Linked DNA regions of Astyanax mexicanus. The protein of the gene in region 2 purifies or fractionates together with the protein of the main gene of each other region. This does not show direct contact. Links are inferred from orthologs where the notes say so. Each region holds a gene or a part of one and is shown on either strand. Other genes may lie near its edges.

The links. Proteins that work in one complex are often made in the same cells at the same time.
Region 1: the proteins of stk40 (region 2) and trib1 purify together in Homo sapiens (affinity purification with mass spectrometry; 3 studies listed by BioGRID and IntAct, counting the BioPlex papers as one, with this or other methods). This does not show direct contact. The link is inferred for Astyanax mexicanus from reciprocal best matches to the Homo sapiens genes STK40 and TRIB1.

Annotation. Positions count from the first base shown.
Region 1 is NC_064410.1:43,228,745-43,235,618, reverse strand, and holds the start of trib1 (tribbles homolog 1), read right to left. Parts: upstream 3,015-6,874; 5' UTR 2,614-3,014; coding exon 2,287-2,613; intron 1-2,286. UniProt on the Homo sapiens protein: Adapter protein involved in protein degradation by interacting with COP1 ubiquitin ligase. The COP1-binding motif is masked by autoinhibitory interactions with the protein kinase domain.
Region 2 is NC_064413.1:33,630,276-33,637,235, reverse strand, and holds the start of stk40 (serine/threonine-protein kinase 40), read left to right. Parts: upstream 1-3,947; 5' UTR 3,948-4,176; intron 4,177-6,960. UniProt on the Homo sapiens protein: May be a negative regulator of NF-kappa-B and p53-mediated gene transcription.

The DNA.
Region 1 (6,874 bases), on a different chromosome or scaffold from region 2:
ACTTAAACGTAATATAGACTCTTAATCAGCACAGATCATGCTCAAAAAAACTCATCTAATGTGAACAGAATGAGAGACTAACCCTCGCCCTGTCAGATGGAGACAGCTTACTGTTGAAGGCCAGGCTTAGCCTCATCTGCCTGCCTGCACCACAGTGCTCATCAGCAAGTAGGGATCAATGACTGCTGGCTGTTTAATCAGCCTGACCCCACTTCTCCATTTATAGTGTAAGGCACAATGTCTATTTCTGTTTGTGCACGACGCCAGCCTTGGTTTGCCTGAAATATTTTCTTCTTTTTCAGCTCTCTGTGGCTGACGCATGCAAATAACTCCTATCAACACAATGGAGGGTGTGAAGTCTCACATTTAGTGGTAATTACACATCGCTTGGATCTGCTGCAGCCTATATGGGTTGCATGTGTGGCTTCTAGGTCTAAAATAGACCTTGTTATGCAGTGATGCCTGCGTTTAATGCTTGGCAAAGCAATATCACTAAGATTAGAGGAAGCATGCCAGTCTTTGCTATGCTTAAAGCTAAGGGTTGGAGAGTTTGAACTGCATGGAGTAGCAGGCAGGTGAAATGACTGTGTGTGAAATGCTCTGAGTGAAATGTTCTGAGTGAAAGGCCATTTTACACACATTGAATTTGCTCTAGCCTATATCCTTTATGTGCTAAACCATATGTGAAGATCCCTACCTAAAAAAAAACGAATAAAAAAACGGAACTGTGCCATGAAGCGAATTAATAATTGTTGGCAAAGCAATACTGCTGAGCTAAGAAGAATCTGAGCAGTTGGTTCCACAAAATGCTTTGGTTTGAAGCAGAGGTGGATAATATGATGGTAAAATGTTGTTATTGTGACAATATGGTTTCTGAGCATTCCATGGCTACTGACAGTGCATAGTGAACAACTCAATTTGTGTGTGTAATTAATTACTGATGGCATAATTAGTCCTGATTAATTGAAAGCCAATTGCATCTGTTGTACCGGAGCTTTTGATGGTTTTTAAATCTGGCACCACCAGTGCATGATGATTATGTATCAAAATTATGCATATAATTATTGCCATACACAGTTTTTCACATTGTGGGATAGCTTAAATCTAGCATGAGTGCCTGATGTATAAATGACGAATGAACTGACTTCAATCAAATCGATTTACATTGATTTCTATTGGAAGAGATTTTTGTTTGGGATCGTTTGGACAGATACAATATCTCTTTGAGTATTAGGATATAATAATTTTGCAATATTGCCCAATCCTACCTACAGTGTGAATCACTGATTGCACAGTGCACACCTCAAACAGTGATGTGTGCAATCAGGCCTTGCTCCATGTAATCAACCTTTTTATAAGGAGTGTAAGAAACAATATATTTACAGCTCTTGAAAAAAATAAGAGACCACTTACAAATTATTTTACCATTTAAATTGATTTTACCAAATTAAACCTTTGAAATTAAATTAAGATTAAACCAAGTTTAACTGCTTACATTTTTGCATTTTGCATTATTTGAGGTCTGAAAGCTTTGCATCTTTTTTGTTATTTCAGCCATTTCTCATTTTCTGAAAAAAAAAAATGCTCTAAATGACAAAATTTATATTTGGAATTTGAGAGAAATGTTGACCGTAGTGTACAGAATTAAAAAAAAATTAATTTTACTCAAACATATACCTATAAATAGCAAAATCAGAGAAACTGATTCAAAAACTGAAATGGTCTCCAATTTTTTTCCCAGATTGATTCAACTGATCAAACTGATCTCAACAACATAGTATCAATATTCAGACTGCATAAAACAAACTTTACTCTTCCTCAGAATATGTATATTGTGGTGTGTATTTATACTGTGAGAATTTCCATGAAATTTCTTTCTATTGTTTAAAAATTGTGGTATTCTGGTTTGTTTGCAGCATTGCAACATATAACACTATCGTCATGTATCATGATATTTATTGCAAGGTTCTTCCCACTCATACAGCCCTGCAGTGTATAGCTAGAACTGTTTGCACAGTGTATAGATGATTCAATGTATATATGATATATGATTCATCATATGATTGAAATGAATGAGTGTATACAGTATATACGCCTATATATATAACGTTGCACCTTATAGATAGCATATATATAGAGTGCATACCTTATTCACCAGATACACCAGAGTCATTTTAATGCATAGCATAAATGCATTACTACACTTCATTATCATAATGCTGATGTTTGATCCGCTCAGTGCTGACCAGGAGTCAGTCAAAACACTAGTTAAATAGCTGAGCTCACCTTGCACAGCAGCTCCTCTCCGGTCACTGTATCCAGCGCGCTGTGGAGCCCTGCCCGCTCGGCCAGGGGCAGCAGCAGGAAGCGGCCGATTCGAGACGGACCCTGGGGGACCGGGGGTGACCCCGGGGAGGCTCCGCTCGGAGGACATCCCGGAGAGGGCACGAGGGCAGCGGGGTCGCCCGCAGCCGCCTCGTTCAGCTTCAGCCTGGGGCACTTAGCCACTGGCTCGTCGCTGTCCAGGCGCTTGTGAGCGCGTCTGCCCGGCCGGGCGCAGGTGGGCGCCGGGCTGCTGGTGGTGGTGGTGCCGCTGCAGCCGTGCACGACCATGGTGGAGCCGAGGGGGTAAAAGAGCGGGTGAAAGAGGGGTAAAAGGGGGTGGGTGTCAGTCCTTGGAAAAGGGGGGTATTCCGTGGTGTCACATTCACGACTTCAGACAGTCATATATTCCTGCAGAATAGAGAGGTTAACTAGCTAAACTAACTTTTCTCGCTGAAAGACAAAAAAAAGTGGAGTCGAGTCGCAAAACAAAGCTGTTTTTAGCCGCTTCAGCGGGTTCAGTCCATCACTCAGGCCGAGTCTGGAGTGTGTGGACGGACAGCTGATCCCAGGAAACAAAACACAAACAGAGACGACCTCCAGAAACCCCCGGTCTCCGCAGCCGCTCCGTTAAAAAGCCCGTGTGATGTTGAAGCTCTCGCACACGACGACAGCTGGAACTCCGCCCGCTTAGAGCGGCGTTATTATTTTTCGAACGCACCCGTTTTGCGGTACACCCCGCCCTCCACGCAAGCGGATTGGCTAGCAGCGTCCGCCTCTCGCACTGGGATTGGCCGGTAGTAGTTCACACGCACCTACACGCACTTGTAGTACTAATTACTAGCGCTTTTCAATAAGGTACAGAGCAGGAGGCTGGATGCTGCCAGCCAATAAGAATGCACAAGAGGCGGGGTTTGCTGAAAACGGGTGGAATATAAAAATAAACCACCTAACGCCATTCAGCTCGCTTTTCCCATGTCACATAATGAGCTCAGCTTGATTGAGCAATCAGCCACACGTAGCCAAGCAGAGTCGCGGTGAATGACAAAACTCCACTTTCAGTTAGATTTTTTTTTTTTTTTTATCATTTTCATCATTTGGTTCTGCTGCCACTCTCAGATAGTAATAATTATGAACTGCTGCAGGATGTACAGGATTTATCTGACACGCTGCTGCTGCTCCTGCACATATCCCATATCATGTATCTCACAGGAGAACAACATTAACAACACTGAAGCCTGCCTTCATAACACACAGCTTTCACTGAATGTGTTCCTCGTGGAAACACGTGTGTGGCACTGGGGCAATGATTAACCTAGTTTATTTCGAAACGCACTGCTGCTCTGCTGTTGTTTTTCTCTTCGTTAATTCATCATTCATTCAGATGCGGCACAGCTTTCAAATTCTTTAAGGCGTTTTCCGTGATTTCCAGCGCTTTCCTGCCTGTGTACAGTGCATCTGTTTTAAAGGAAACTGCAGCAATGGTGGACGTTAGAGGAATGTTTAAGCGATGCCTGTTTGTTCATGTGACTCATCTCTGCTCTGAGAGGAAAAGCTGGGGAGTGGTGAGGTGCCTTTTGTAGGCCAAGCGCTTAACATGGTTCAGATCATAGACTGTATATAGCTGGACAGAGCATCGTCTCTTAAAAGTGAAGCCACCACAGGTCGGGCGCCCCCTGCTGTTCGGCTGCAGAAAGCTGTGTAACTCCACCCATCCCCATAGGTTTCAATGGCAAAACAGACAACTTTCAATCACGTTTTTTTCTAATATACTGTAATTCTACCTCCATTATTTAAATGCAACAGCTAGTGTAACCTCTGCTTATATTGTCAAATTTTTATATCCCCACAGAATTCAGTTTTTAAAACTTTATTCGGCTCTATTCAAAAAAGGTGTGGTTATGGTAAAAGGGCTGCTTATGGGCGGGACCAATAACAGACCGTCAGCTCCGCTCCGCCCCGCTCTGCAGTCTGTGACCGCGAGGCAGCCCTCAGGGGCGGGGTTATTTAAATGAGTAGGCGGTCTCTCCACAGCCTTTCTCCCTCCTCTGGTCTCTACTGTGCAGACTCTGGTCTCTGAATCGCCAAAATGGCGGAAGATTTTGGCTTCATTTTCATTGAATGAATGGGAACGGCGACACGACGTCCATCTTTATATACAGTCTATGATTCAGATGGTTTGCATGGCTTAAATCAGGGGTTCCTGATGTCTGTGCAGGAGACCCTTGCATGGAGGCCCTGCTTAATTTTAGGAACTGATACACCCGATCCACTTGATCCAGGAAGGCCTTAGCAATAAGCTGATGAGTTCTGATCAGATCATTTTTGTTTGGACAGGTCAGTGTTTTTACAGATTGTGAATTGGCCCAATTAAAGGCCCATATCAAGACAGGACAAATAGACAACAAGACCGTATGTAATATTTTGTAGGATCTTTTTTCTCACCCACAGCTCTGGGAAAAAATGAGACCACTTCAGTTTCTGAATCAGTTTCTCTGATTTTGCTATTTATATATATATATATATATATATATATATATATATATATATATATATATATATATATATATATATATATATGTTTGAGTAAAATTAACATTGTTGTTTTATTCTATAAACTACAAACAACGTTTCTCCGAAATTCCAAATAAAAATATGGTCATTTAGAGGATTTATTTGCAGAAAAGGGGAAATGTCTGCAATAACAAAAAAAAAGCAGAGCTATCAGACCGCAAATAATGCAAAGAAAACAGGTTCATGTTCATAAAGTTCAGATATAAAGAGTCATAAAGAGTTCAGATATCAATATTTGGTGGAATAACCCTGGTTTTTAATCACAGTGTTAATGCATTCTGGCTGCTCTCCTCCACCAGTCTTACACACTGCTTTTGGATATATTTATGCCACTCCTGGTGCACAAAAAAAACAAACACTTCAGTGTGGCCTTTTTTTATTTTGTGCAGTTTTTATTTTTTTAACCTATGTAGTTGTCATGTTCCTCCTCAGTTTATTAGAAAAAAATGCTCTTAAATTCATTTTGCGAGCATATGTATGTTTAAATTGTTTTTTTGAGGCTATTTAAAAACAATTTTGGAGTGTGTTCTATAAAAGTGGGTTGCAACTTAATGACCATGAGAAAATTGGTCCCAGGCTGAGACCAATTGAGAACCCCTATGCTAAAACATAAAATTTTCACTTGCCTCTTCACTGTATTATATTTATTCTAATGAGGACAGCCTCCATATGTGCACAGTGGATGACAAGTCATATTGAGTAAGGGCAGCCTGGGAATGAATTTGGTCGCATTGTGTATAATCAAGAAAGAGTAGGTTGGTGCATCATACCATATTATATCATAGCATCATGCACAGAACAAATGTCTTTCAAACATAACGAAACAGCTTACATCATCAGCATCTGGATTTCCAGAATAAAAATATGATTAATTTACAAATAAAGTTTGCCTACTTCTAGGTTTGCTTCATTTTCATGAAAAAAAAAAAAAAATACAGACACATCCACATGTGGTGACCCAAGAGATCTGGCGTGGTGAAATGCATTGAGAAAAGTGCAAGTGGACTGTAAGTTTATTGTTAGAAGCAAACCAGCTTGAGTGACTCAGCCAAATAAGTCACTATGACCTGAAGGATCACGAGTGTGAATCCCAGGTCATTCTGGGCTATCAACGTTGGCATTTTCTTCCTTATCACTCTTACAGTCATACTGGCCATCACAGGCATCTGTTCTCTGATGTATCAGAGCTGGTCTCCTGGAATTGGGAGCTTTTTTTCCGAGCATACTGACTCATTGGCAATAGTTCAAGTGATAGAGAGAGTCCCAATGTGTGGGTGGGTTAAATTGGTTAGCTAAATTAAGAAGTTAATTAAAATGAAAAAAAGAAATTAAATAAACCTTGCTGTGCTTATGTGTAAATAACTTTGCTCTGATTGGTTGATCACCTGCCTTGTAGTGTGCTGCAATGTATACAAAAGAGCTGTTTTTGCAGTTTGCAATGTGCATCCTTTATATTACATCATAGCTTTTTGAACCGTATTATTGCATTAAGACTTGTATGTTTAGCTGTAGCTGTGTTTTAGATATAAGGTTGGAATGTTTTATTCTAATTCTAACACTCAAGCCAAGCTCAATGTGTATTAAGCATATATTAAAACATGTTATTGTATATTATATTATAATATATTGTATTGTTGATTGTTCTAATTAACTGAATTCAGAAACATTCACATTAACTATTAACATGTATTAATATTGTAACACCACAGACTGGAGTGAGACATTTGCAGTTAAAAAAGTCTGACTTTAATATACAGGGCAGAACCAAAGAAATGCAGCCTGATTACAGCCTAAGGTAAAAACAGAACCAAAAAAGAGGGATAAATGACAGATGAAAAATAAGGGTCAAAAACAGAGCAAAAATACCAAGGTAAACTAGCTAAAGGGGCCAGACAAAAAAATAGGTCATACACAGAAATAAACAAAGAAATAATGCTTGGTATGCAGCTGAATCAACAGGGGAAATACTTCAAGACAG
Region 2 (6,960 bases):
TGATGATCATATAATGATATAAAATCCTTAAAGCAATCTTTTAATACCACTGATTTTGTTTAACCCAATGGCATTGTTGGTTAAAATATTTTATTTTCTGAGTGTAAGTATGTTCTATCTACAAAGATACATCTCCTTATTCTAAAAAAAATAATTACTCTTAATGAATTTAACATTTTAAAATATAAACAATAATGTGCCATGTGCAAAAAATGAGTGGCAAGTGAGCATGCTTTCCCACAAGGGAATGAATGTAAGTGCAATTCATTCATTTATGTGTAGGAGAAGGATACCTCTCCCACGACTTTACAGATGAATAAAGGGTTTTTTAGAATTGCTTATTAGAAAAGCCATCAAAAGACCAACTGTCTGAGCAGCGTGGGTGAATGAGAGACAGTGGGCAGTAGGACATGATGACTAGCCTGAGTGGTTAGCCAATGATTCGTGTGCACTGTTGCAGAAGCAGATTGCATCGTCTGTTCTGAACTAGAGTATAATATGACAGGTTATTAAGACTTTTTGATGGAACATCAAATTGAGCATTATATTCTTAATATGCTTTATAAAGATAAGGTTATGCAATGCAGTGTTTCACAATCCTTGTCATGGAGGCACACTTCCCTGCCTATTTCAGTGTATTTTATTTTAAATGTGCTGTTTATGATTCTGGAGAACAACTTGTTGATATTTAAACTCATTAGCATGACAAACACACCCTCTCAGTGCTCCTTCAGAAGCTCTACATTTTTAAATTCTTGCATGTTGTGGATTAGTTAGCTGTTGTTACAGTTGCTGCTGTTAGTTGTTATAATTTATCACCAACATTTGCAAACTGAACAAAACAAAACTATTTCTTTGGAATAGCAAACATAAGTAAGTATCAAGAGAGAATAGAGCAAGTTCCGCATTCCTTGTCATGCCTTTCTACACATTGAGGTCTCTATATATATCTTCATCTGATTAGTGTTGTGTAGCTCAGTCTGAGCCATTATGTTTGTATCCTAGAGTTGTGTATGAACACAGTTCTTTTCCAGCGAGTTAACAGACTGGGGAGCTAGCTATCTGCATGGTAACATTTGCTTAATTTTACAATTAAGGTTTACTGGATTAATATTTTATGCAGCATCTTTAATTGAACGTAGAGTGTAAACGTGACATTAACAAGGGTTTACATTAAAAGGTTTGCAACTCTTCTAATCAATTTTGACCCAACTGGCAAGATGATCCAAAAACTATACGACTACCTAATGCATTCCTTTATGATCATTCTGTCACCTTATAATGGAGTATATGGTGTTGCAGACAGTTTAGAATCCTTCAGTTGCAGTTAAAACTGACCACTCAGGCTATTCATCATGTGCTACTGCCCACTGTCTCTCATTTACTCACAGGACTCTGTATGCACACACGTGAATAAACAGTATGTTTGTGTGTGTTTTTTGTGGGTCTGTGTAACAGCATTATTGATGAGTCCTCGCCATGACATGTGCAATGAAGTGATGATGCTGCCTTCTGCATTTCTTTGTTTCTGTTAGCCTCAGTTGTCCAGTATTGCCTTTCAGTTTATCTGCGAACACTTTCAATGGAGGACAGAGTAACAATTCGAATCACCATGGTGACAGTAACTATGCTGTGGCGTCAGAGAAAAATGAGAACAGTCCAGGCACGTTTTAGACCCCCACATCACGGCTTCCAGTCACGCACTCTCATAATAGCCATGTGAAAAAAGAGCTGTCAAAACATGCTGAGGCAATAGGTGGTAGGACTAGACACACTTACCTCAGCCCACAGTGCTTCTCTTTACACTGCTGTACAGCACTGTTTCTGTGCTGCATCATTTTAAACACTGATCATTTGAATTCTGATACAATTTATTATTTAATTAAAATGACTTTTTTAATCATTTTTCACATAAAAACTCCCTTTGGGAGAAATCAGTTTTTTTTTTCTTAACCCATTAGGGTCCTTATCCAGTTCAAAATTGGATCATTGGTAAATTAACTGAGAAGCTCACTCATGTGTTTTCTTTTTGTATAAAGAGAGAACATGACTCTAAATATTTTAATCTTTAAACACTAATGTAACAGAAATTATACAATTTCATAACGTGTATTTGTTTGACATTCTGTTCTAGAGTTTGTGTCACAACTAGTTTGCATGTAAAACATTTAAAACATTTGTATTGTAAAATGGGTTGGAACAGACCTAAAGAAGCAAAAAATATTACGTGAAATCTAATCTCCAGCACTAACCTAGCACACCTACATTCTGTAAATAAGGTCAGATAAGCACAGTGACACACTGTCCTAATGCACACAGGATGTTCAGTATATGTCACTTAGGTCTTCATAAGTTTATAAAATCAAGGACAGACTGCTGTAATGAACTTTCACAGCTTTTTGTAAAGGTCTGTGACATATGCATGTCACCATGAGCTCTTTTAGTGCTCTGTTGTGCTTTATATATACATATTTCTTCATGCATAAATGCACTTAACTTAAATAGTTTGTGGGAAATGATTGAAATATGTTTTTGTCTGAAAGGGTCAAATAATGAAGTAAATGTATGTAAAGGATGTATGCAACACTGTACCCTTTTCCTGTTATGCATTCTTTTTATACTTTTCTGTCTCTCCTTACATTACCCATGGGTCGCCCACTCTCACAGTATGATTCAGTCAGTTTCCACCCTGAAAACTGTGGGTTGGCCAAACCTAAGCCACAGGCTGATAAAAATGTTTCATGTGGCTAAAAGCAAATGCTGTGCTGAGTCAAAGCAATCAAAAAGAGTTATGACCCTTTAAAAGAACGACATGTATTTGACAAGCTACTGCTTACTAGTCCAGTGCTCTGAATTAGAACAAGCAGCATGGGTGGGGTTCAGTTGAGGAACTGTTGAACTATCTGAAGGGTCTTGCACATAGAATAAATGTAGTAGTAGCAATATTTGATTAATTAGAGAAAGCACTGAATAGCTTTCTCTAATGCTTGTGTAACCTGATTTTTTTGCATGTGTGGTACCTGTCATAATTTTGTATCATTGCATTTATAAAAACACATTATTCCAGATGAAGGCAGCAAAACAATGTAAGAATTATTTATTGATTTATGGTGTACAATGCACTAGTACAGACATTTGAGAAGTTTAAATTAAACTATATGGACAGACTTATTGGGACAAATGTCTATTCATTGTTTCTTTTAAATTCAATAGTATTAAAAGGGTATTATTCTGTTGTCTGCAGTCCAGGAAAGACTTTCTACTTGCTTTTGTATTTGATGATTATTTGCTATAATGATTTGATTACATTCAGCAACAAGCATGTTACTGTCAGGATGTTAGAAGGTCACCACCTCAACTTATCTTTAACTGATGGAGCACCACCATTCCAGATAACACACCACAGCTCCACAGCTAGCCCATACCATTATACATGGTGCCAATAGGTTCATGTCCATCTTTACATGTTTAGCAGTAAACATCTTCTCTACAAGGGCTGGACAAGCTGTGTGCATGTGTGTGTGTGTGTGTATTTGCCCATCTGTGTCAGCAAAGGGTAAAACTTTGCTTACAGTAGCTGGATGCATCATTTATTAGAAGAAGTGTCCACATATGGACATACATATAGACATCACTTAGTGATTAAATAATATTAACTTCTTAAACTCATTCTAACTTGTATTCCCTTTTTCAGAAGACACCTATGATATGGCTCAGTGCTGTATACATATATTAATAAATCATCGATATTGGTAAAGAAAAACTGAGCAATAATCAAATCATAAATCACTCAGTGTATTCATTATTCTGTTGTCTTATTTCCAGTTAAAGACAAAAGGCCCGAAAACGAGTTAGACTTATTGGCTGAGCCGGTCGGGAGAGGAGGGTACTCGCCTCTGATTGGGTTAGTCGGGCTGCCCCTTACTGTTCGTGCGTCATTTCCGTTGTCAGGTGGTGCTGCTATGGAAAGATGTGATCAGTCCGACGGGACGAGGCTTTTCAGCGCGGCGACGCTTCGCTTCTCTAACAGCGGAATAAAACCGTCCTTTCTCCCACACAGCGCTGCGCGGCAGCGAGCCGACTGTTCCTGCGCCTCTCCTGAGTCCTGAGCTGAGATGGCGGCTGCGGTTTAGTAGACGGCAGAGGATCCCTCCCCCCCGGCGATTTGATCTCGAGGTGAGTGAGTGAGTTGTTAAATGGCCCGTCAGTCCGTCGAGAGGCGGCGAGCTGAGCAAACCAAACCAAGCCATAACCCAGCTGAACTGGAGCTGCAGAAACCGGCTTACTGCCTTCATAGCTTTTGCCGCATGTTTCACTCTGCAGGAAAAACTTAATTATTGTAGTAAGTTATAATGTTGAAAACCGAGAGGAGCTCGACCCTTACAAGTTCAGCTGGAAAAAAAGACAGAATAAAGTGTCGGCTGCAAACGAGGCAGCTAACCCCTTAGTTATTCTAGCTACCTTAGCTAGCCTAGTAGCTCAGTGCTCAAAACAACCCGGTGTTCTGTCGAGTTATGCTACTCATTCATATGTACTTCTTTACAGCACTGCTCATGCGCTAACCAACCTTTTTTTGTACTGTTTGTTTTTCATGATCATTCCGTGAGTTTTTATTGAGAGCATTAAACAACCTGCTCAGATGTTAAAACAATGTAAAGCAGTTAAAAATAATAATTAACTACAAAAAACTATAACTATAAAAAATACGGTTTCTAATCAAGTATGTGATTTTATTTTATTTTTTTTATTTTTTTACTTTAAGGTACTTGACAGTGATTTAGCCTATTCACATATCCTACCTAGTATTTTCCAATAAGGTGCTTTTTCTTGGTACTTTTACCGTTTTATATAAATTAAATACTACCAGGGTAGCACAGTTGAAGAAGGTAGCACAATTCGACACAACACCGGTCTAGTTTGTTCTAGAGGCGGAGCGGCAGTAAACGCTAGCTAAGCTACTTCACTAACGTAAAACTGACATTTTACGTCCAGTGTTAAACTAACCTAACGTTAGCTGCAGAGCTAACGTTAGCTAACTAGTAAACACTGGCCTGTTTATTCAAGCTGGATTGTAAGTTAGCTATACTATGATCTGTATACAAACACCCAGCGCGGAGCAGAGATCTCATTCCTCCTGTGACTGATGTGTTAGCTAGCTAAGCTAACCTATCTACAACTCTAGCTAGCTATTTACCGTTAACACTTAACACTGTAGCAGCAAGCTAGCGTTAGCATCATTTGATCCTTAATGATGCGAGCAAACCAAGTCCTGTCTCAGTTTAACCAGTTACGTTAGCTAAATATTGCAATAACGTGCGGGTCTCTAATGCAGTTTTAAAAGTATGTATCGCTGTAGGGTGAGCGACATTTTTTTGCTAGGAATAATACCAGATCCAACTACAGATCGTTTAAAGTCATTCTGACTAAACAATCTAAGCTACCTGGTCACCATATCCTTACTGTAAAATCTAGCTAGCTAGCTAGGTTAGTTCCTTGTCTAAATATTTGCAACTACATTTTTTGTTGTGAAAAACTGTTATTAATGTTTTGTACTTTTGAAATGTAGCTTAATTATCTACGGATTAGAGGGTCTGAATTTCTTTATAAATCAATAGCAACATAGGACCAGTCAAAACAACATTAACGTTATATGTAAGTTAAGTTAATAGATCTGTTTTTTTTGCGAGTAAATATAATTGCTGTGGAGGGAGCTGATATCTTAAACATGCTACTAGTGGAAACTGAGTTAGCGTTAGCTAAACTTGTGGTTAACTTTAACCTGACAACATAATGACCAGCGACCTGCAAGCTGACGCTTGCCTGCAGAAGACCGGTAGCTTTAAACGTTAGCCAGATAGTTAGTTAGCTGGTTAACTAGTCTAGCTACACTTGTCCCTGTTGGCCTAGTTGGAATTTAACTAACTCTGTTAGTGTTTGGTAAGAAAACTGCTTTACATGCAAGTGTTAACTAGCATTGATTGCCACACGCTGTGAAAACGTGTGCCTGACTCTAAATTTAGCTGCCTCGGTAGTGACACGGCCATTAATGAGCCAAAGCGCATTACACTCAGATGAATTACATCATAACACCACAACAGCCAACTTGCTACACAGTGTAGCACACGATTAAACACTCATGCAAGCATACAAGCATAATAGAAATGACCGTGAAATGTCTTTAATAAAGCTAGTTAGTTGTACCTGATTGTTATGCAATCTGCACAGCCTTTCACCCTCTACAGACTAAATAAGCAACCATACCATCCATTGTCTGAAGTCTTGAGAAGACAATTGTTGTACCTTTTTTGTTTTTGTATTTATACTGTTTATTTCATTCTTACAATACTGTCTCTTACTGCAAACATTGCTTGAATACATTTGCACTGAGGCTATAAGGCTAAAATGGCAAACATGTAATGGATTTGTATCCCCACAAGAGAGGGACAGATTTTATATCTATAGTAGTCTGACACAAAAAAAAATCAACAGTTGGAGCAGCAGGCTTCAGAAGTGGCCGCACTACTTGTTAATTATTTGTACAAGTTTGTTTTTCTGCATGTCATTCTTTTAACGGAGGTAAACATCATACAGTGGTTGGTTAACTCTTCACATGAAGTGTCCTCAGATTGGACTCTGATTTATATATCCTGGTTTTGAATGCTTGTGCAACATGCAGCCTGCCTTCTATAATTCCCCTTCATTTCTTTTTGTGCTTGATGTAAACACATGGTTTCATTTAGGAGCGGACAACAATAGTGGCTGAAATCTTGCTAGATAAAGCATGGGCATGGTGTCACTGGGCAAAGCTGTCACGCAAAAATCTGTTAATATCTCAAAGGGTAATGACCATGTGATCATGTCTGTCATCATGTCTGTCACATTGTCGGCAGTCTGGAGCTGGAGGAGAAAAAGAATCCCTGTCGAAAGTGAGAATTTATGTACGGCTGCAGCCAAATGAAC